3 linked regions of the Elephas maximus indicus genome follow. The protein of the gene in region 1 interacts with the protein of each later gene in a pairwise test. Links are inferred from orthologs where the notes say so. Each region holds a gene or a part of one and is shown on either strand. Other genes may lie near its edges.

What was found.
Region 2: the proteins of TCL1A (region 1) and CADPS interact in a two-hybrid assay, tested with the Homo sapiens proteins (3 studies listed by BioGRID and IntAct). The two-hybrid records come from large-scale screens. The link is inferred for Elephas maximus indicus from reciprocal best matches to the Homo sapiens genes TCL1A and CADPS.
Region 3: the proteins of TCL1A (region 1) and TXLNA interact in binary tests that used the Homo sapiens proteins (3 or more experiments, as listed by UniProt). The two-hybrid records come from large-scale screens. The link is inferred for Elephas maximus indicus from reciprocal best matches to the Homo sapiens genes TCL1A and TXLNA.

What each region holds. Positions count from the first base shown.
Region 1 is NC_064828.1:109,306,510-109,314,400, forward strand, and holds the start of TCL1A (T-cell leukemia/lymphoma protein 1A), read right to left. Parts: upstream 3,001-7,891; coding exon 2,881-3,000; intron 1-2,880. UniProt on the Homo sapiens protein: Enhances the phosphorylation and activation of AKT1, AKT2 and AKT3. Promotes nuclear translocation of AKT1. Enhances cell proliferation, stabilizes mitochondrial membrane potential and promotes cell survival.
Region 2 is NC_064838.1:67,984,037-67,991,926, forward strand, and holds the start of CADPS (calcium-dependent secretion activator 1), read right to left. Parts: upstream 3,001-7,890; 5' UTR 2,708-3,000; coding exon 2,282-2,707; intron 1-2,281.
Region 3 is NC_064821.1:73,087,771-73,095,587, reverse strand, and holds the start of TXLNA (alpha-taxilin), read right to left. Parts: upstream 3,001-7,817; 5' UTR 2,895-3,000; exon of another isoform or gene 2,829-2,894; intron 2,344-2,828; 5' UTR 2,312-2,343; coding exon 2,134-2,311; intron 1,509-2,133; coding exon 1,170-1,508; intron 1-1,169. UniProt on the Homo sapiens protein: May be involved in intracellular vesicle traffic and potentially in calcium-dependent exocytosis in neuroendocrine cells.

The sequences.
Region 1 (7,891 bases):
ATCTTGTCATATTTCTTCTTTTAAATAAGATATCCCTGGACCCTAGGATCTGGTGGCAGGCTGCTTTCCACCACCTCTAACTCTCACCACCAGCACCTCTCATCTGAACTACCGCAGTAGCTCTGTAAGTCACCGCCTGGTGCTCCACGGTCAGTTCTCTGCACAGCAGCCAGGGTGAGCGTCTAAAAACCACACCACTCCCCTGCTCAACACCCTCTGATGGCCCAGTCCCAGGCAGAATGAGTGGAAATCTTTACCACACCACACAAAAACCCACACTGCCGGGCCCCTGCCTCCCTCCTCTCTTGTGGCTCTGTCCTTCACTCTCCACCCTGTCCTGGCCACACAGGCCCCCTCTCAATTTCTCGAACACGCCACACTCATGTCTGCTCTCAGGATCCCTTGCACCTGCTGTCCTCTATGCCTGGAACATTCTCCCCCAGATCTAGGCAGGGTAACACCCTTCTTTTAGGCAGGTCTCTGCTCAACTGTATAAAAGTTCTTGGGTGGTGCAAACGATTTGTGCTCAAATACTAACCTAAAGGTTGGCAGTTCAAACCCGCCCTGTGGCACCACAGAAGACAGTCCTGGAGATATGCTTTCGTAAAGACTACAGCCCAAGAAAACCCTACGGAGCAGTTCTACTCTGTAGCACGTGGGGTTGCCGTAAGTCAGAATCGACGCAGTGGCTAAAGGTCTGGTTTTGATTTGGTTTCTGCTCAAATGTATGTATATAGAGACAAACATAATAGGAAACAATATGGCAGAACTGAGACCAGACTCATCAGTTATATCAGTAACTGACAATGAGTTCAATTCACCAATCAAAATGAATGAGCTCAGCAAATCCAACTCTATGACTATGTAAGAGCATCCCTACAACATGGAGATTCAGAAAGTTTACAAAGAAAACGACGGGCAAAAGAACATTAAGACCCTCAGAGGGGTCTTGCCTGAAGACCCCCACATCACTCACTGTCTCCTCCCACCCCACTCTAATTCTCCTACAGAACTTACCACCAGCTTAAGAGCTATTTTTTTATCCATCTCTCCCAGCAGACTGTCAGCTTCACAAGCACTGAGATTTTATCACATTTAATGTGTGCCCCAGAGCCTAGAACCCTGCCTGACATGATACTTAGCACTCACATTTGTTTAATGAACAATTTTTCAAAGTGGAAATAGTCTTATTTTCTGTGAAAGAAACTAATGCTCACTGTTAAAAAATTATTCAGATCACACTGCAAGATGTAAGTGTGGGTATCACTATTCTTGCCTTGTTAGTGTTTCTTATTGATTTAAGTAAACCTTTATATATGAAGAATAGTGGTTCTTTTAGTCATGTGTGGCAAATCTCACTCTACTCCTCTTCAGTTTGCTACTGGGTTACTTTCCATGCAGAATTTATACTGATTTTGTGGAAAACTCTGTCTAGTTCTTGGTTTCAGTGTCATGTTCAAGAAGATATTCTCCAGAGATTAAAAAAAAAAAAATACATTCACCTAAATTTTCTTCAAATATTTGAATTAAAAAGTAAATATTTAACTTGATTTTTTAAAGTATATATATATATATATATATATATGCATGCTTTTGAAATTAAAATATAAATTAATACCAAGTTTAGAAGGCGGTTAAGAGCCTGGAATTCCAACCCCTTTACCTACTATCTGTGCTACCTTGGACAAGTTTACATTTTTATGCCTCAGTTTCATCATCTGTAAAGTGGGGACAGAGTCAACACTCAATAACTTTTTGCTGTTTGCTATATTACATGAATGTTCTACTCTATATTTTAATTCACTTTTATACTTTCTTCACTCTACATATGGAAAATTTTCAGTATTTTTCACCTTTGGGGAAACCAAGGCTCTGGTGGAAGGCACTTGCAAAAGAGTTATATTTCTTTAAGAAGAAATTCGCATTAGCTAAGGATCCATCGTAAAGCATCAGGGGTAAAACAAAGTCAACGTTTATTCCACACCAGCCTTTTTAGTAAGGTATTACGCGTTAAATCGGCTTCCTCCAAAGCATAGAGAAGGTATAAAACACCCCATCCTCTGGGAGTGGTTCCCAAACTTAAGCCCCAGAAAACCAAACCCACTGCCATCAAGTCGATTCTGAATCATATCGACCCTACAGGACAGAGTAGAACTGCCCTCACAGGGTTTCCAAGGAGCGGACGGTGGATTCAAACTGCCGACCTTTTAGTTAGCGGCCTGAGCTCTTAACCACTAGCCGAATCAATCTATTGAGGGTACTTTTTAAAACACGTATTTCTGGGGCCCACACCAGGAGGGTCTGATAACCGGCCAGGCGTAGGAGTCACTTACTCCCTTACTTTAGAGAGATATTATTCTCATTTGGCAGAGAGGTTAAAAGCTCAGGTACTAACCAAAAGGTCGGTAGTTCAAATCCACCAGCCGCTCCTTGGAAACCCTACGGGGCAGTTCTACCACGTCCTATAGGGTCGCTACGAGTTGGAATCAACTCCACGGCAACGGGTTTGGGTTTTTTTTTGGAACCTGAAGCCCAGAGAAGTCCTGTCTTAACCAAGATCATATTCACACATGCCAGAGCCACTGGGTCCTCATCCGTTAGCCTCCATACCTTTGAGTAATCACCACCCTCCTTCCTGGCCTGGAGAACTCCTACTCATCCTTCAGAACCCTGCTCTATAAGTGGTTTCATCTGCGAAGCCTGGGCTGCCCTTTGTTAATCAGACCCCTTCCAAGCCTTCCTGCCACCACCCTCGCTGCCGGACCGGGGCTCCTCAAAGGCCCAGCCCAGCCTGGGGCATCTCCAGCTCCGGGGGGCCCCGCCGGGAAGGCAACGAGCGCCCATACAGTCCTGCCTGCCTCTGCCTGAAGCGGGCTGTACCTCCATGATTATGGGCAGCCAGGCGTGCTGGTTCTCGTCCAAATACACGGCCTTCTCCCAGAACCACAGGCGGTCCGGGTGCAAGACCGACTGCGCACTGGAGCGCCGCTGCTGGGCCATGGAGCCTGGGGCAGTCAAGGAGGACAAGCACGGCGCCACTCGCCGCCACTCGCTGATCGGAGGGATGCACGGCCCCGACGCATTTATAGCGGACCTCGCACAGCGCCCCCAGGTGGCGGGGCGGGAGGAGGGCGGGGCGCGAGGCGGAGAGTGGGGCGGGGCGGAGGGCGGGGCGGAGCGGAAAAGGGCAGGGTGTGGCGGGAGAAAGGGGTGAGCCGGCGAGGAGTGGCGCGGGCGTGGCTGTGCCCTCGAGTAAGATCGGGGGCAGCCCTGAGGCCCAGGCCCCAGCCCCAGGGGTTCCTGGAGTTCCCAGCCAGCCGTCCCGCCCAGCCCCCACACCCCACTGCTGGCCGGGTACCTTGCTCTATGACCCTGGTCCTTTCTGCTGTCGCGAGGCGCCGTTGTGGCGTCAGGACCCCACTGTCCGGAACCACTGCGTGTGGCTGGTCAAGCCAACCCTGGACTGGGGGCTCCAGGCCTCTGCTGAACTCGCAGGCTACCCTTGACCCCAGGCACCTGGAGCCAGTGGCCCTCCAACTCTTCTGGGCCTGAAAGCCCCTGCGGCCTGACCCAGGCCTCGGCTTCCCTGGCTCACAGAATCTGTGTCCTTGGCAACACTGCAATTCTTGAAGTGCCCCCTCCGCCCAGGCACACATTTTCCACGGCTTTGATGATGCTGTGGTTGTCTAATAGCTATTGTGAAACAAGGTGATGAAGAAACATGGGCCGTTCCCTTTATAGGCTCTGAATTCATTAGAGAAAGCGTAGCTCAAAATGAATGCTTGGAAAGAAACCCCTCCGCCCCAAGATCAATGGAGTTGAAAAGTCCCTGGGTTATGTGATCAAACTGTCCCTGGAAGTTACAGCAAATAAGGAAAATAATTTCACTTCATGTTGGAGTAACACATGCCCATTAAGACAATTAAGAACATAAAGGACAAGGGAAAAAATGTGAAACCATTTCCAGCCTCTTTGCTGAAATAGCATGACTGGTCACGGTTGGGTGCCTGGCCTTTCAGTTCTCTCCCATCTTTCTGATTAAAAAAAAAAAAAATTGCCACCAAGTCATTTCTGACTCATGGCCACCCTGTGTGTGCAGATTAGAACTGCCTTCCTTAGCCTTCCTTAGGGTTTTCAAGGTGGTGACCTTTCAGAAGCAGATCACCAGGCTTTCTTTCAAGGCCCCCCTGAGTGGGTTGGAACCACAACCTTTCGGCTAGTAGTCATTTGCACTGCCCAGGGACTCCTTTCTGACTGGGCACCAAGAAAATAATTTGGGATCCTTTGAAATGTCGTAAAGGTGAAAATGAGTTTGATGTCTGATCCCCTGACAGCAAAGGTGAGTATTTGCTTCTCCGCGTATCCAGCTAGCCTAATTCCCAAGAATGAGCTGAGGTAGCCTGAGGTAATAGCGATATGATTGGATTTACCGGGAGCACAACAGAAGACAAAAGCCTAACAAAGCTCTTTCCAAGTGAAGCCCATAGTGGTGTTGGCATTTAATATTCAGACTGCTGGCTTTCAGGCTGAATTCCCTGTGGACCGTCCTTGACTAAATAGCCACTGGGAGTGAGATGAGATGAAAATGGTGGGAACAGGCTCTATGGGGGAAGTCGCAGCCTGGTCCAGAGCTTTGAGGTCAGAAATGATAGCAAGTTCCAGCTTAAGCAGCACCTCTGGCGTGGACTCTTGTGGCAATTAAGGAGCATCCAGGAGCCAGTGTGGCTACTGACCCAGTCACCTCATTTGCCCCAGGACTCACTGGGTCAGCTGTTCTAATTAGCACTCACTCTGCTTTTGGAGAATCAGAGGCCTTTTGGCTGGATAAGCTTGCGAATCTTCCAGGAATGAGGTTCCCTCCCCGCACCTCCACCACCCTTTGGAAGGACAATGTATTTCTTCAGTTTCACACTGGGGCGTCTTAGTATTAAGCAAAAGTATATGTTATTCCTGTGCGGGACTTAGAAAATTATTTGAGAATGGGTTCCAAAAAATGAAAAGTAAAATAAGGATGGCCCAGAAGGTTAATGGTTTCTCTGGCGTCTTTGAGCCTTTTTCATGGAAATTCCACAGGAGGGGAAACAATAGCCATTGTGTAGTCCTGGGGAACTGGGAATGTGTGTGTGTGTGGGAGCCTCCAGCATGTTATCTACATCATCTTAGGGCTTTCAGTCTATTCCTTGGTAACTTTGTCCTTTAATGGTCTGCGAGGTTCCCCCGAGAATAATCAAGTGGATGTTCTGTGAAGAAAATAACCCAAAACAGTTATTTTGACTCATATTGACAGAATCCTTAACTGATGCCCTCATGTCTTGACTTGGACCCAGTGTTGACTTTGCTACTACCACCTGTGAACTTGGCAGAACCTCTGCCGTCTGGGCCATACTTTTGTAATGAATGGACCAAGCTAGATATGCTCTAAACCCATTTTCAACTCAACCATGATGAAGTTGCCTATTGGGAAGTGAGAATAGACAAAAGCTGGACAAGCTCATGATATTAGTTCAGGAATGTCATGAGCAGAGTGGACATTAAGGCCCTCAGTGGAATTCACTCTTCGGGAGTGAGGAAGCCATCCTTCCTGTTTGGGTTCCAAAGAAGGATGCTGAGGGTGAGTCGTGGCCATAGTATTATCTAGAGCCTTGTTCCTCTAAGTGTGTTCCCTAGACCAGCAACCATTGTCCATCAGAAGGGGCGGCACCAAAATGACTCTCCATAAAATTTTCGTCAGTGTTCCAGTAGAAATTTATTATTTTTTATAAAAATATCACTGTAGTTAGTTACAACAACAAAAACATTTTTTGTAAACCCAGCTTACAGGTATCAATATACCTACAAGGCTGAAACTCTATGCTAATTTACTTTTGAGCCTGTTAATGCCCTCAGGTCAGAGCCGCCATTATTACTCAATTACAATGATGCTTTCAATCACATGGTTTTGCCCACAGGTGCTACAAGCACACACTTGTTTTCGTTGCTGCTGGTATTTTTATAGCCTCTGATTTTGTCAAATTTTCTGATGTTTTAGCTACAATATTGTGGTAATTAGTATTTGTGAACTTATATCAATAACTCTTTTGAGAAGAAAGTAGTAATTAAAGGAAAAGGAGTGATATACCAAAATTATGATTTATGTACAAAAACATTGCAAAGGATTCTGTATGGTCTGGTATGGGAGGAGGTCCATGCAGGGGTGACACCATGAGTAATTGCACTGAGTAACACCAATCCTAGTGACGCCACTGCCAGCAACATCAGCATCACCTGGAGCTTATGAGAATTGCAGAGCCTTGAGGCCCACTGCAGACCTGCTGAGTCATAATCTGTGTTTTAACAAGATCCCTGAGTGAGTCGTGGGCACATTTAGTGCTGGTCTAGGGGAACAATTAGGGGGAAGTGGCGGTGGGTGTCTGTCTCATGCCATCAGTGCTCTCTAGAGTTCTTTAACTATGACGCAGGAATTGAATAGGTATCTCTGTATCATTTAGTTCCCGGTTATCTTTTGTTATGTTAAAATCACTTCCAATATATACTGTTTTCCTCTTAAGAGAAAATCCTGGCAATTAAGGTCCTCTTAACCAATTTCAATGATTGTAGCTAGCTGTAAAGACTCTACGTAGAGGTTACTAAGGTGTCCCTGCCTCTGGGCCCCTACGCTGATTGGCCCTAAACCACTAGGCCAGTGCAATCCTGGCTGCCTATTAGAAACACCTGGAAAGTGTTGATAAACTACCTGATCCTCGACCCCAACCCAAACCAATTAAATTAGAATCTTTGCGTGATAAGGCTTGGGGAACAGCCAGGGTTGAGAGCCAATCCCACACCCTAAGATTTGGGTTACTGTTTTTGAGGTGTGAATGAGGTTTGTAAAACGAAATAACCGTGAAAATTTTAGAGCTGTTCTGGTCCTCAATGTAAACCTCACCCTGACCTGTAGTCTATATCTTTCCCTTTGCTCTAGTTTAAATTTGTTGCTTCCAATCTTTTCTGGGCAGTGAAACATAGCATCAAATTTATTAGGATTGTAATCTCTCCAATGAGTAAAACACAGAAGCCCTGAGATGTAGAACCTAAGGCATCCATACTTGTCACCTGGGGTCTTTTTTCAAGGATTCTTGGGTCTGGGCCATATTTTGGATAATTGAGACTGTTGATCATATGAGCACAGTTTGAAAAAATAGTTATAATCTTTACCCATAAGAGATAAAATTCTATTTCTAAATTAACGGGCAATCTGGGATGACAAGGATATTCTGCACAGAGCTCAGACTGACCATAGCTTTGGCCACTGCATGGCTATGATCTTTCTTTAAACTGAACAGAGTTTTAAGTGCTTCTCAAACCTTAGAGAAGTTTGAGAACCCCCAGGTGTCTGTCAGTTTGTCGTACTGTGGGGGCTTGCGTATTGCTGCGATGCTGGAAGCTGTGCCACCAGTATTCAAATACCAGCAGGGCCATCCATGGCAGACAGGTTTCAGCTAAGCTTCCAGACTAAGACAGACTAGGAATAAGGACTGGTGGTCTACTTCCGAAAAGAATTAGCCAGTGAAAACCTTCTGAATTATATATGATCAGGAACCAGGGGTACTTTAGGAAGAAGTCCAAGCTGCACTGAAGGCATTCGTGAAAAACAAGTATCCCGGGAATTGACGGGATACCAACTGAGATGTTTCAGCAAACACATGCGGTGCTAGAAGCACTCACTCATCTACGTGGAGAAATTTGGAAGACAGCTACCTGGCCAACTGACTGGAAGAGATCTACACTTGTGCCCATTTCAAAGAAAGGTGATCCAACTGAATGAGGACGTTACCAAATAATATCATTAATATCACGTGCAAGTGAAATATTACTGAAGATAATTCAAAAATGATTGCAGCAGTTCAGGTGG
Region 2 (7,890 bases), on another chromosome or scaffold:
ACTGCAATGATTATGCAAACCTTTTAGTTACTTTCAGTGGTCACTTTTTTTTTTTCTATCAAAGTTCCAAGCTTTATACTTGGAAAAACATACACTTACCAAAATACCCTTTTTCAGGGAGGCACTAAAAACTTAAAAAAAATACACAGCAACGGAAAAGCCTATTTACCTTTAGTTTAAGAAGGAATGGACATACATATGGAACGGACATATATATCTTATTACAATGGTAAATACATATATGTGTGTATAAATACATATGTGTGCATGTGTACATATTTTCAGCTCCCCAGTGTAGCTGTGGCTTTGCCGAGATGAATCCAGGACTACTTTGCGGCAATAACTAAAAATAGTTCCACCAAAAGCAAGTGTCAGTTCTGGACTCTCTCTGATGTTAAGGTCATGTGTAAAAACAACCAGCTAGCCCTGGAATACCACTGCTTTGAATGGATTCAGGTGAAACACGCAATCAGCTTAGAAAACTGTGGCCTCGTGATAATCTTTCTCAGGTGTTTGAAGGCTCTGTTTAGCTCGGCTTTCTGTGGGAACAGTCTCCTTCCCTCATCCTGGTGCCTGGGTTAAGCATGCATTTAAAGACCAGAATTCTGGAGACTTTCGAGCGATAAATGGCAAGGGGTATCTTTCGTTCTTGTTTTTGCTTTTTGGAACTGACAACAGTTTTCTCTGCCAAAGGAATAGGACATCTTTGGTTGGTGCAGCTATTAATGGGATAGATTTTGGAGATGGAATTTCCCAATTACCCTAATTCCAAGTGAAACTTGAAATGCCGGGTCCTGTGCAAAGGACCCAACATCCAAGCTCAAGAAAGCATATCCAGAAAACTTTCACTGCTCTGAGGATACTTTTGCTTTCTGCGGTCCAAAACATAGGTTGAAAAAGCAAAGCGGCTGTAGTGGGGAGCAAGGCCGTGATTGCGGGGGGGTGTGGGGTGTGTAGCCCGTCTGGTGTTTCTCAACCAGGAAATGAGTTTTATTTTTTTAAATAAAACTATTAACCAAGCTCGTGATAGCTGAAATAAATCATCAGCGCTGGGCGGTGTATGTACATAGATATGCAAAACAAACAGAGAAATCTGTGCTAACTCGCGATAAGAGGATAAATATAGGAAAACCCAACACTCCCCTACAGTAACATACAATTTCGTCTTAGAAGCAACCTAGAAATTCGCTATTTTAAGAAACGGGTCTCACAACCTTGGCGGGGTTAGAGCTGCCTTCTCACACCGCCCCTCTGGGGGCTTGAGTGGCTTTTCCGCTTGCTCAGGTGCAGCAGATTCATTTAAAAGAGACTGAGCAGAATGCTGACTTTCCTCATTAACTCTCTCCAACCAAGTACCTGACCCCTTCTCCTGGGACCCCTGCCGCAGCACCTCTCCCAGCAGTAACCACCCTCGCCTTTCTCGGGCTACAGTGCCGCTGAGAGAAATCGGCGCTTTTTTCCTATCAAAGGCAGTCCAAGCCGCCGCAGCCTTGCCCCAGCCTCAGACAAAAAAGCTTTTGATGCTTGTAATTGCGAGGCTTTTTGCAACTGCACTTTATCAAGCCAACAGGGCCGGGTCTGGAGGGCCTGGGCAAGCCAGAAGGTAGCGGCGAAGTCACCTTGGGACGAGGAGTGGCGGGCCGAAGGGAGGCAGGTGGAGGGGCTGACCCGGGCGGAAGGATCAGAGGGCGCGGCGCGCCATGGCACCCGGGCGGAGGAGGAACAGGGGAAAACCTCTGCCTGGGGCTCGCGCTCCGGCACCCCTGGGCGACGCCAGTCGGGGGCCAGCCGGCCGGGCGGGACAGGAGGGTGCTCACAGCCTCCCGGACTCGCTCCCTCCGCCCGTCCGCGGATGCTCTCCGCCCGCCGAGCCGAGCGCGGCTCCGGGCGCTCTCGTCCCGCACAGCCGGCGCCCCGCCCGCTGAGCGCACGCCCAGAAGGGCGGGCCCCAAGCCGAGGGCGGACACCGCCTGGCGCCGGAGCGCGCTGGGAGCGCAGCGAGCGAGCCAGGCCTCACGCCCCAGACCTCCGGGCCGCCAGGCAGGACCTGCCGGTGGCGTTCCCGACGCTCGGGGAGGGAGGCCCGGGTGCGTCTGCTGGGCTCCAGGCCCCTGTCCGGCTCTCGGCCGCTGCCGGCGCGCTCTGGGCTGGGCCGGGCCCGGCCGCGCGAGAGTCTCGGAGCCCCTTTCCCGGGTGCCCGCGGCGCCGCCAGCTCCCATTGTTCGCCCCGCCACCTGGCGACGTCCCGGCGCCGCTCCCGGGGCCTCCCCGGCACACCTACCTTCTGCTGCCGGCGAGCCATGTCGGTGGGCTGCTTGGCGTTGAAGGGGTAGGCTATGCAGCGCATGACGAACACATAGAGCTGCAGCCTCTTCTTCCTCTCCTCTTCCTCCTTCTGCAGCCGCTCCAACTCCTCTTTCTCCTTCTCGCTCACCACCGACGGGCTGGGGCTGGAGGGCCGGCCGCCGCCGGCGCGGCTGCTGGGCTGCAGTCCCCCGGCCCCGCCGCTGCCCGGGCCGCTGCCCCCGCCGCCGCCCGCGCCCACTCCGGCGCCGCTGCCCCCCAGCCCGGCGCCGCCGGCCGAGCCCTCGCTGGTGCGGCTGGGAGACAGGCGCGCGCCGGACGCGGCCGAGCCGAGCACCTCCTTGCCGCTCTCCTCTTCCACGATCTCATCTGACTCTTCTTCGCTGGACGAAGGGTCCAGCATGGTGGCGCCTGAGGTGGGGGGACCCCTGCAGCCCCCGGCTTGGGGTGCAAAAGGTGGGGGGCGCTGGAGACAGCTAGGGGTCGGCTCTCCCGGGTGGTCGCCTCTCACCAAATCAGGGAGTGAGCGCGCTGCTGCTCAGCCTCGCCGCGGCGACTGCTGCTTCCGCCCGGCGACCGGGAGCTGGGCTCAGACCCAGGAGCGCGAAGGGAGGAGGGGCAGGGAGAGGTGCGTCCGTGGACCCGAGATGGGCAAGGGGGAGAATTAATTGCGAGCCCGGAGCCCGCAGCCGGATGCCATCTGCAGCCTCTGAAGGAGGCGCCTCCAGAAAAGATGCCGAGTGTTGCAAGCTGTCGATGCAGCCAAGAGCCGAAGAGGCATCTTGCCGATTGGGGAGGGAGCGGCGCTTACGTGTTTATTGGCTTAACTCTCCCGTGTCCGCAGCGTAAAGGGCGGCTGCAGAGAGCTGGAGGGAGAAGAGCGCAGCGCGTGCCTCAGGGCCTCGGTACTGACCCAACGCCGTCCCCTCCTTGTTTTTGTGGATAATTTCTTTTACGATCCCCATCTCTCATTGTCTCGACCCCTCTCCTCCTCCGGCAGACAAAAAGTTCTTGGGCAGGGAGAAATAGAGAAACCAGTGGTGAGTTCTTGTCTGTGAAGAGGGGACTGTTTGGAGACGCTAAATTCAGAGGTCTCACTAAGAGGAAGTCTTCGAGATTCCACACGGGAAAGAAAGGATTCATCCTCTATCCCCAGGCTTCTTAACGCCTGGGGCGTGGGGGCACTGGGCTGGGCAGTGTGTGTGCCCCACCAAACTCTGATTACAGCAATTTAGAGATGCCCACTGCCATTAAAATAAACGTACCAAATTTTGAGTGGATTAGGGCATCAACCATGCAGCTCAACTATTGAAGTAGTACCCCCCTCCGCACTCTCCCAACCCCCAAAACTGTGAGGAACGTTCAGCTCCGAGAAGTAGATTGCTTTCTGCTGAGCGAGACTGCCAGAGAAATGGAAGCGTTGCAGATTGCTCAGTCTTTCCTCCATTCTGGCTCGCTGGAGGATGTAGGCGGTGAGTGGGGACCCCGAGATCAAAATCCCCCCCGAGAACTCAGAGGCTTCAGCGTCTAATGCACTGGCTCTGTCGCGCTGTCCTCATCCCTGTTTCTCCGGTTATCTATTAATAAAAAGCGGCAGATGGTGCCTTCCTTCACCCGGCGCCTTCCACTAAGGTCAATAAACCCGGCGGAAGGGGGAGCTGGCCAGCGTGCTGAATCTAATCAGCGAGCCCGCAGATGTATCCAAAAACAAAATAACCCACCACCCTGGAATCTTAGGCTATCCTGAGACCCCTTTCCACCTCCCCCCATCCTATCTCCTATGTTTATGGATTTTCTAATTATCCGCACGTACTCGTGGGAGCGATTGTAAAAGTGTAGCTTGAGTTTAAAGTTTACATCACATCTGTCTCTATGTGTTTTGCAAATTTACCATGAGCTTTTCTGTAGGCTTTGATATTCCAGTGAAGCACTGGCTAACCTGTCTGAGATCTAACAATGAACTCAAAACATCTCATTTCACATTAACTTCAACAATTTTGTTTCATTTTTTGAATTAATATATGGATAGTTTAGACTTCACCATCAAACTCTCTTCGAGGACACAATTTCTGTGACCCTGGCACAGTCTGTATCAATTTAAAATAAACAATTGAACAATGGAGATTGCTACAATTTGTCCTCACTTTTCCATTCTTCTAAAGGAGAAAAAAAATGTTCAAATCATGTTGTACTGGTCTTTCTGGGACAGAAACGAGAGCAGGCCAATCAGACAACAGAATTCATTCAGTACCTTTCTACGGAATGAACGCTGTTCTAGTGTGGTGGCTGGAATTTTAAGACATTCTTTTAAAGAGTCTGTCTTAGTTATCTAGTGCTGCTATAACAGAAATACCACAAGTGGATGACTTTAACAAACAGAAGTTTACTCTCTCACAGTCTAGGAGGCTAGAAGTCTGAATTCAGGATGCCAGCTCCAGGGGAAGGCTTTCTTTCTGTGTCAGCTCTGGAGGAAGGTCCTTGTCATCAATCTTTCCCTGGTCTAGGAGCTTCTCAGTGCAGGGACCCTGGTTCCAAAGGACTTGCTCCCGTCCTGGTTTTTCATTCTTGGTGGTAGGCAGTCCCTCATCTCTCTCCTTGCTTCTCTCTTTTATATCTCAAAAGAGATTGACTCAAGATACAACCTAATCTTGTAGATTGAGTCCTGCCTTATTAGCATAAGTGCCTCTAATCCTGCTTCATTAACATCATAGAGGTAGGATTTACAACACAAAGGAAAATCACATCAGATGACAAAATGGTGGACAATCACACAATACTGGGAATCATGGCCTAGCCAAGTTGAGATATGTTTTAAGCGGATACAATTCAGCCCATAACAGTCTATAACCTCCTTTTAGAAATACAGTATAAACACCTAAAAGGATTAATGACACTTATTTCAAAGCAACATATCAACAAATTCAAGTCAATAAACTGCAACAAGCTTACATAAATAAAGCAACTTGGAGCGGGAGAGAATGGTATATTTCTCAAAGGAGAGGCCAGCTTTGAGTTACATTTTAAAGGAAGAACATGAGAAGCATGGTGGAAAGGGAAGATATTATAAATGGAAAAAGTGGTCAATAAAGCTGTAGCTATAATTTTTTTTTTTTATAAGGCAAGGGACCAAGTAAGGCACAGAGTTCTAAGGAGATGGGGAGTGGGTAAATAAGGTGAGGCAAGGAGGGAAAGAAGAGCTGAAATTATAATCCATTTGGCCAGGAGAAGGGACCATGTTTAGGACACAAATAAAAGGTTAGCTGGGAGCACGTGGTGATTGGGCAAGGAGGGAGGTGCTCTTGAAATTCGGACAAAGGCCTTTTACTAATTAAATATTTCTTCGTTAAGCGATTATTGGTGGCAGAGTGGCTATGAATTTCATCTGCAGAGCCATTTGTAATTTCTCTGTTATAATAGAATTTTGCTTGGTTTTGTATTTTTACAAATTTCTTTGAGGTTATGTTTTGTTTTGTTTTTTCCCCAATCATAGTCATCAATACAGAGATTCAGTATCCACCTTATGTTAATCATATAAACCAATGATTTTTGTATTAAATATAATATTGCTTAAATAAATTTAACAATCTTCTTAATCTCCCAGGACTGTACAATCAAAGAGATTAAATTGATTTTACCAAAAATACTTCTATAATTCTTTCAAAGGTGTATATTGCTGTATTTTTAAATGTACACCCTTTCAAAGACATCGCTTAGCTACAAGTCAATTCAATGTCCTTGGAAATATAACTCTTTACTAGTGCTAAAGGTAAGATATGCCAACCAGAACTCCATGGACATCTGAACCAGGATTTGTGGCTTCCCTAAATGCAAATTTTGATGAACAAGATAGAAAGTAACACCAGAGAGCATCCAAAGACTTTTTAATGTTTTTCTGCCTCTTGTTAAAAAGGCACAACAATGGACTAAAACATACCAATGATCATGAAGATGGCACAGGACCAGGCAACATTTTGTTCTGTTATATATAAGGTCACCATGAGTCGGACCAGCTCAGCGGCGACTAACAACAACAAAATCAACCTCTTGTTAGTAACACCCATGTTTTAATTTTTTAAAAACCAGAATTCTACCGTATGTACTTACACACATAAGTATTTATGTCCCCAAACAAGCTATTTTAAGTACTCGCCTGTTTGTGCCATTCCCACCTTCAGTTGTGTTTTGTAGGAAACTTGGATAACCTAAAGGTGATGGAATAAATTTTATTTCAGCCATCTGGAGGGCATATTATGAAAGTAGAAGTTCTGTATCAACTACGTTTTTTCAAATCCCACCCACAAAAAAACTGAGGAAATGGGAATGACTAAGATACTAGATCAGGGTTTTCTAATCTAGACCTAGACAATCTTCGTTCCTCTCTAAAGTGTTTGCTGTGGTGATTATTACATAACAGGCCACAAATACACGGGAATGTCTGACTCGTTTTCAATTGATCAACACTTTGGTGAAAAACAATCACTTTTTTTTTTTTTTTTTTTAGTTTTTTCATTGTTTTTCCAGTAACTGATATTTATTATGCTATTTTTTAAAGTTTTTTTTTTTATTGCGCTTTAGATGAAGGGTCACAGAACAAACTAGTTTCTCATTAAATAATATACATATTGTTTTATGACATTGGTTAACAACACCACGATATGTCAACACTCTCCCTTTTTGACCTTGGGTTCCCTATTACCAATTTTCCTATCCCCTCCTGCCTTCTAGTCTTTGCCTCTGGGCTTTTGTGCCCCTTTAGTCTCGTTTTGTCTTATGGGCCTAACCTTTGACTTCAGGGTGAACCTTAGGAGTGACTTCATTACTGAGCTAAAAGGGTGTCCAGGGGCTATACTCCCTGGGTTTCTCCAGTCTCTGTCAGGTCAGTAAGTCTGGTTGTTCTTTTTGAGTTAGAATTTTGTTCTACATTTTTCTCCAGCTCTGCCCAGGACCCTCTCTTGTGGTCCCTGTCAGAGTAGTCAATGGTGGTAGCCGGGCACCATCTAGTTATACTGGACTCAGTCTGGTGGAGGCGTAGTAGATGTGGTTCATTAGTCCTTTGGACTAATCTTTCTCTTATATCTTTAGTTTTCTTCATTCTCCCTTGCTCCCAAGGGGTGAGACCAGTGGAGTACCCTAGATGGCCCATCACAGTCTTTTAAGGCCCCAGACACTACTCACCAAAGTAGAATGTAGAACTTTTTCCTTATAAACTCTGTTATGCCAATTGATCTAGATGTTCCCCGAGATTATGGTCACCACAATGCTTAGCCCAGCAATTCAGTCCTTCAGGGAGTTTGGATGCATCTATGGAGCTTCCATAACCTTGCCTTGTACAAGTAAAAACAATCACTTCTTTATGTAACTCTAAATCATGTTTCCCTCAAATAAAATCCAGTTTAATGTTCATTTTCATGTTTTTGTATGTTTGTTACTAGAGGATAGAGTTTGGCCAAGTTAAATCTCTCTCTCTCTCTTTTTTTTTTTTTTACATTTCACAGTAAATTTTATATTATCTAGATATAGTCATCTCATCCAATATTTTTTAATTTAAAAAATTTTAAGAACTGCTCACAAGCACCAAAATGGACT
Region 3 (7,817 bases), on another chromosome or scaffold:
CTGCCTTCCCTGCTAGACTACATGCTTCGTGAGGGCCCCAGGACTCTCCCTAGTGCCTGTCACAGGGCACATGCTCAACCGCTGAACAACTGGGCACCTGTGGAATCTTGGTGGGCACCACCGGTGGGAGAGAAAAATGGCCTGCTCTATCACCAGATGAAAGGTGTCCCACCTTGGAGTTCAGTGCTACTGTTTCAATGCAAGGAGGGCCTTTCCAAAAGAGGAAGGATCCAAGAAAGCTAAGTCTCTGGCCTCCCTGAGAATGCACTGAAAATTTCCTGTCAACAGGTAGCCAAATAGTGAATGAGTATAAAACGAGTATATCTTCCACATACGTGATTCGAAAATCTCTTTTTTGTATGTGCTTTAAATGAAAGTTCACAGCTAAAGTTAGTTTCTCAAGTCTAAGATTTTTTAAAATAAATACTCTCTCTTCAAATTAGGGCAACAGCTGAGGGTAGGAAAGTAGGGAGTAGGGCACAGGTATAACATCACCCAACCTCGATCCTTTAATAGCCTGTCAGTCACTACCTTTCCCCGCTGCCTGCACCTGAGTCAGAGAGTTCACTGCTCCCTCCCTGGGGGCCACCTTGCACAGAACAGCACCAGGCTCCTGAGTGTCAGTCTTGGGAGTCTCCAAGAGTTGGGTGTACAGGCTGCAAGTCACTGGCACACAGGCCAAATCCAGCCCATAAACGGGTTTTGCTTGGCTCCTAGTGTTTTAGTTGCCAACAGTTAAAAAAAAAAAAAAAAAACTGGCTGCAGTAAGCCTGCAGCTTTGGCTGCTATCAATTAGCTGGGACCAGGTGGCAGTCAACCTTTGGATGAAACAGGCATTCTCTTGATCCACATGGGTCCCCTGGTTAGCTTGGTTTATGGGGACATTTGAGCTTTTGATCCTGGTCTAGTCTAGTTCTCTTACTAAAAAGAACTGGAAACTAAGGCCCAGACAGGGGAGGGACTTGCCCAAGGTCACACTGTGGTGCTGGCTGGCACGGGAGCCCACCAAGTCTCCTGCTCTCCATTTTCTCAAAGAGCAAGCAGGCTAGATTTCAGCCCCACTTGCTTCTGAAGCCAGGTGCCCTTGTGCAGTGAATGACCTGAACATTTCTATGTTGTGGCCCCACACAGCTGGCTCTGGTTAAACTAAGTAGCTATCCTCTGCTCACCCAGCCCCTTGGCTTTCTTCTTCTCCTGTGGCCTCCGGTGGTCTCGGTCTCCGCCTTCGTCACTCGCCCGGATCTCCTCTGTGCCTGGCTCCCCCTTGGAAGTCTCCTTTTCACCATTGACTACTGGGGTCCCTGGCTCAGGCTCCCCATTCCTTGCAGCATAGCTCCGGGACTTCTCTGCATCTTCAGGTTCGGCGGGCTCACTCTGTGCCCCATCCTCACCTGGGCCCCCCTGATTGTTGTCCACACAGTAAGTACTCAAGATGTCTTCCAGCTGGCGGCTCAGCTCCTCGGACACATCACGGAGGGCCCCAGACTGAGCAGTTTTGGCTTGAGCCCCTACAACAGAATAGGATGAGGTGCACAGTGAGAAATGAGATGGTTATATCACTGGTTGGGGCTCTTCAGGCTCAGCCAGACTCACCGGGTTGGGTTAAACATTGCCTAATCTCTTTAAAGCTCAGTTCATTTCCCTATAAATGGTGTAACTATCCCTCACCACCACCCAATAAGGTTTGCTGTGAGTATAAAGGTATGTAAAGCATTCAACATGGACTAAGCACTTAGCATGAACTCAACTTCTAATCTCCTCCCCTCAAAAGCTGTTCCTTACTATTAAACAAGTTCCAGAAACACCTCAAGTATGGATGGCAGTTACCCACTGGTGACTGAAGTGTCTCCTAAAGGGACGAGGATTTGCTAGTCAGGCCTCTCATTTGACTGCCACCTGGTTTAATCCTGTCAGCCTTCTCTAAAGAGGGTTCTGCTCGTGTTTGGAGCAGGAGGCTATATCAACTCCCCCGGAAAGGGTGGGGAATCACACAGACTCTGCACTGTCCTCCTCTCATTCTACATTTCCTCTTCCCTGGGTAAACTGCTGGCCTCGGCTTCAAACTCCAGCAGCTAAGCAGGAGTACCACAAACTCCTCCCCCTGCCCGATGGAAAAGCAAAGCTGGCACACACCCTCAGGCTTCCCCGGGGCCTGGGTGGTGGAATCTTCAGCTTCGGTTGCAGGAGCAGCCTGGCTGGGCCGCCCCTGAGCTCCCTCTGGTCCCGCTTCCGGTTGCCCTGGGTTGCTTTTTGGGTTGGAAGTGTTGCCTGATGGCTTGGCAGCCCCATTCTTTTTGTCTTGGTTCTTCATTGTGGTTTGCAAGGCTAGATTAAGAGCAAATCCTTCAGAAAGAAACACAGTTGCTATTTTCCAGACTTCGAAAATCTTCGCCGCCCAATGCCAGGCGCACAAAGCTTCTCAAAACAAAAACAAACTGGTTGGCCTCTACCGGGGGGAGCTAACGGTTCTCCCGGTCTCTGCCCGGTCAGGGGAGCCTGGCGTGCCCAGGCTGGTTTTCGGGGCGCTACTCCTAGAACGGGCGAGGACAGAGGCCTCCCTCCTGCCGAAGCCACTTCCCGGCACAACACGGCCCCCTCACGACAGGCCGAGCGCGGGATTGGCTCAGGGCCGAAGACTGACGTGGCGGGATGCTCTATTCCCGAACCCTCCCCCCCGCCCCTAGGACTCACGTGGGCTCCGCGAGCGCGCGCGCGCGCAGCCACCCACGCCCCGCGCGCCCTCCAGCCGCGCGCGCGCATGCGCAAGGCCATAACCCGCCTCCCCGCCCTAGCCCACGCACGAAATCGGCGCGACTGCCCCCACTTGCCGAAAGTATCCAGGCATACAGGGAGCACCCTGATCGTCTCGTCCCGCTAGCTGCAGCAGCACGTACCTCGCCGCCGACGTACCGACGGCTTCACCCGCTCTGGCCGCGCACCGGAAACCCTGGGCAACCGCTTTCGGCAGAGCGGCCCGCTCTCGTCGCAGCCAATCAATAGCCCGCGCTCTCGCGAAGCTTGCTGGGAAAGCTGAGGCGATGGCGGCCTTTGAGGCGGGTAATTGGGAAGGCGGGGGAGGGAAGGGACTACATGTCCCTCCATGCATCGGGGCTAGCTGTCCACAACTCCCAAGATGCAAGGGAAAGGGCTTCGTTCTGGCAGCCGGGTACCCTGTAGGTCCGGAAGGAGCCAGTTACTATGCATAAATACCTAGAGTAACCTCATTATCATTCAGAAGCTGTGATTCAGTACCCAGGCTTTGCTCCTGGCTATTCTTTCCTGCACGCCACCACCCTCTCACCCCACATTGTGAAATTCTATGCCTCTTATTTTTAGTATCTGGGGGACTCTGAGGCCTCTCGACGAGCGATGGATTCTTGAGTCGAGAGACCTGTATTCCAGTTCTGACGTCATCACTGATTTGTAGTATGACTGGGCATTCTTTTCTCTCTCTGGGCCTCAATTTCCTTTTTTCAAATGGAGGCTTTTAATAATAGCAATAACAGGTTATTGGGTGCCTGCCATATGGTTAATCCTCATAACTACTCATCGAGACAAGTACTATTGTTATTTCCCATTTCCTCATGAGAACAGTAAGGCAAAGGTTAGATAACTTGTCTAAGGTCACACTGCTAAAGAGTGGTTAGAGCAGGGATTCAAAACCAGGAAGTCTGGCACCAGGCCACCGTACTAACTACTCTGCCATGCTTTCCCTTAGGATGAGTCGAGGTGACTTATTTTTTTCCCACTCCTCATCACCAGTTGGAAACCCTGGTGGCCTAGTGGTTAAGAGCTGCTAACCAAAAAAGTCGGCAGTTCTCCTGTGTCCTATAGGGTCGCTATGAGTCCGAGTTGACTCGAAAGCAACATTTTTTTTTTTTCCATCACCAGTGTGGCAACTAGTCTCTTTGGAAAGGGCTGAGGACACCCTGCAGGGAGAGCTTGGCCTCAGACAAAGATTCCCAAGCCTTTTTCTCTGACAGGCCAACCCTACGCAGGCCACTTCATCACACCATCTGACTAGACTGACAAAGTCCCAGTGGCACTGGGGCTAAAGCTGGGGGGGGGGAACCCCAAGCTTCTCTCCAAATATGGAATCACAATTCGTTATCCCTGCTACCTACAGATAATGGAATAAAGGCCAATAATCCTTGCGCCTGGAGCTGAAAGCCTAGACGATTTGGCTTCTTCTGTTTTCAGCCAATCCTCCCCATCCCCACTCTCGTTTTTGCTTCAACTGTACTTTTACTCTTTCCAGCATTTCTCAGGTTTTTGCAGATCCTATTTCCTCTTTTGAGGCCCAGCTCAAAAGCCTCTTTAGAGCCTTCCCAATGCTCTGCAATCTGTCCTAGCTCCCTACGTCTAGATAGAGTTCTATTACAGCGTTATCACCAAGGTGTTGATACTATTTGCTTGCAAGTCAAAGAATACTGTGGGGAATTGTTAGCTAAATTCTCTTGTCCCAAAGGCTAGCACTTGGTGAAGGCAGAGAATGGTTTTAAGTTGTTCAAATTGAGCATTGTTTGGGGGCTGTTAAGATGTTAAGTATTTCCCCCAAAAGTTAAGGAGACCATAGGGCAGAGAGCTCTGTTTAGTGGCTCCAGACATCAAGGTTTGCCTTTACCAGGTAACACTGAGAGGCAATACGGTATAATTGTGTGATGAAGGAACTGAGAAGCTAGGATTTGGAATCCAGGTCTCTTGAAATGAAGGCCTCATTTCCGGAAAAGCATGTTAGAAATCCCTTGAGGAGGTTACATTATCAATAAGGCCTTGAAGTTCTAGGAAAAAGAAAATAAGAACAGGCTTAAATGGAGTGAGGGGTGGAGGGTATAGCAGAAAGGTCAACACTGGCCTCCAGGGACCAGACGGGTAATAAGAGTAGATAGAGCAGGCACCACGGAACAAGAAAAATAGAAACATGGGTTTAAAAAGTCACTTTCTCAGGTATAAAAGAAATATGGCAATGAGTCAGGGAGACAACTAGTATGGTAGTGATTACGGTAGAGAGGTCCTTGCAGATTGTTGCCAAGCAGAAACTTAGGCCCAGTTATGCCAGATATTCAGTGTTTTTCAAGACAGCTATTTCTTGATTTTTTAATGTTGTTAACTAATTAAAACTTAAAACTCACTATCAGCCAAATAAGACCTTCCTTTTGGGCGAAATCAAATTGTTGGCTTCTTGTCTAATTTGTGTTAGGAATTGCTCTAAGCTGAAGTGAGGAGTTTGTGAACTGTATGACCTCAACTTTTATGAGAACATTTCTTCACTGGCAAAATGGGGACAATATTCAGTTAGCTTGTAAGACTCGAAACAATGTCAAGATCCTTTATAGCAACTCTAGAAAATGCGAACTGATCTATAATGACTATAGAATGCAGGTTAGTGCTGGGGCACAGTGAAACTTATGGGGGTGACGGGTATATTCACTATCTTAATTGTGGTGATGGTTTCACGAGTGCATGTATATAAAAAATTATCAAATTGTACACTTTAAATAGGTGTAGTTTATTGTATGTCAATTATACGTCAATAAAGTTGTTAAAAAAAACAAAACAAACCTTTTATAGCAGGAGCAGGCTGCAGCGATTTTTATTTCTATTAGACTAACAAGTTTAAATACCCTTTCCTCATTCACCTCCAAATAATCCAGCCTAGGTTCACTCCAAACCAAAAGAGACGATTTAGAACTTTGCAACAGGTTTTTATTTTTTGCTTTATATCTATTATTACAGTGTTTGAAACCTAAAGAAATACATTTCTCTTCAAATTTGGATGTGTATATAAATATCATTTGTCTGGACTCAGCACACTCAATGCCATGGTTTCTTGGCCTATGTCTGCTCTAAAATCATCAAGCTGTGTCTGTCTACCCAGGGGCCCTGAGAACATGGAAAATAGCCAGAGAGTTTATGGTTCTTGGAAAAATAAAAACAAATGAATTAGGAAAGAAATACCAGTAAGGAGGAGAAGGGCTGGATTCACCTTTCTAGGGTCTGTAGCTGGGAACCAACCTGTTTTGGGGGACATCTGCTTTGCTGGATGGTTGGGGTCCTATACCTCCTTTTCCTTCTCTAGTGATAAAATCAAAGGCAGTTTCCACAAAAGCTGGATAAAGAAGCCAATACCCAACTCCAGGGCCTGAGGATGCTAAGGACATCCTCTGAGGCAGAGGTTCCTAGTCAGTCTCAGGGCCTCTTAGGTATGCCTTCCTTTACTGCCCCAGAGCATGCAGACAGTTTTCTCTCCCTAAGCCCAGGGGCTGAAAATCTGACCCGCTTAGGGGAGTAGGGCTAGCTTTCAACAGAGGGGTTCAGGTAGTGCTAATGTGGACATAAGAAGTCAGGCTGGCCCAGAAGTAGCCAGGTAGGCCCAAAACCTTTATAGCATACTATGCAAACCTCTCTCCCAGAGTGTCTGGGCCCCAAATTTAAGTCAGTAACTCTCAAAGCCAGTTTTGGTTCTGCACATAGCCCAGATCTAATGCAAAATGCCCTCAGAGGAAAAATAACAGCTTTAATACATAAAGTTGGTTAGTCTTGACTTCAGTTTCCTCCCCTGCCATGGTCTTATCTGGGGTAGGGCTAAGGGATAGGCAATGGGATGACTGAGTCATTACCAAGGCCTTGGCCAAAGAGCATCTAGTGTCTGCCACATGGATCCCTGTAGGGCCAATTCTCGCTTGGGGGCTTAACAAAAGAATTTAAAAGCTAAGACACAGAAAAAATACTGGATAAGGTTGGTCTAGAATGTGCAATCCTAAAACAGCTGTGGAAGAAAACTACTCTGAGCAGTTTCATTCCCACACTCGTGCACTCCTGGAGTAGTCCTGGCCTGGAACATATTGCCACTGGTTATGAACATTTCTTTCCTATGGTTCAGCATCCTGAGCCTTGTAACCCTCCCCCAGGCTGCCAGGGAGGCCGGCAGGCAGGCACATTCAAAGAAAGGCTTTTTTCCTCCATTGCCCTTGTACAGAGGATAGAAGCAATTTTTTAAGGAACTACTTTGTACACCTAAAGCAATGTCTCTGACATTAGGCTGGCCCCCAGCTGGGCTGTTCTCCTTATGACCCTGCAGTGCCTGCAGGGACCTGGAAAATAGGAGAATCTAGAATCTGAGCCCATAAGATGACTCCATGGAGGAATGCCTAAGATGATGAGTGAGTCTAGGGGAGGAGAGGAGGCCTGAGGAAATGAGGGTGGCCTTCAAAGAGGGACCTGGGTTGAGGAAGGAATTATTGCTAGGCTTTCATCTCCTTCCCTTCTAGTTAGCTAGAACACGGATAGCTCTAGGGTGCAGGGGGAAGGAAAGCAAAAAGGAGAATATGGAAATCCAGTTCATTCTGGTAGATGGTTTTAATTTTAAACTGGTTTGGCTTTAGTGAAATAGAAGGTCTGTGCTGAGAGCCTTCTTTCCCTCTTCCTTGACTAAGTATAATTGCAGCTACAGATTTGTGTAGTTCAGCTCCAGAAAATAGGGTTCCTGGAAGAAACAAAGAAGGTGGAAAGAACAGATCTAAGGGTTCTAGTAAGGGGGAACACCAAGGGCCCCTGAAAGCTGGGGTCATCAACACCTGCTCCTTGGGAAGGTCATTTGTGCCCATTGCCCCAAATTAACTAGGCTGGTCAGTTGAGAATAAAACCCATGTGGTTCTACTAGAAGGCAGTCACAGGGAGTAGCTGGGAGCTGAAGACCAAAGACCCTTTTAGTACTAGTGAGCTGATCTGGGAGTGGAGAGGGCCCAGAGGGGCTGGCAATAAATAGCTGGCACAATTCAAAATAATATTTGAACATTTTAGCTAAGAAAAAAGCC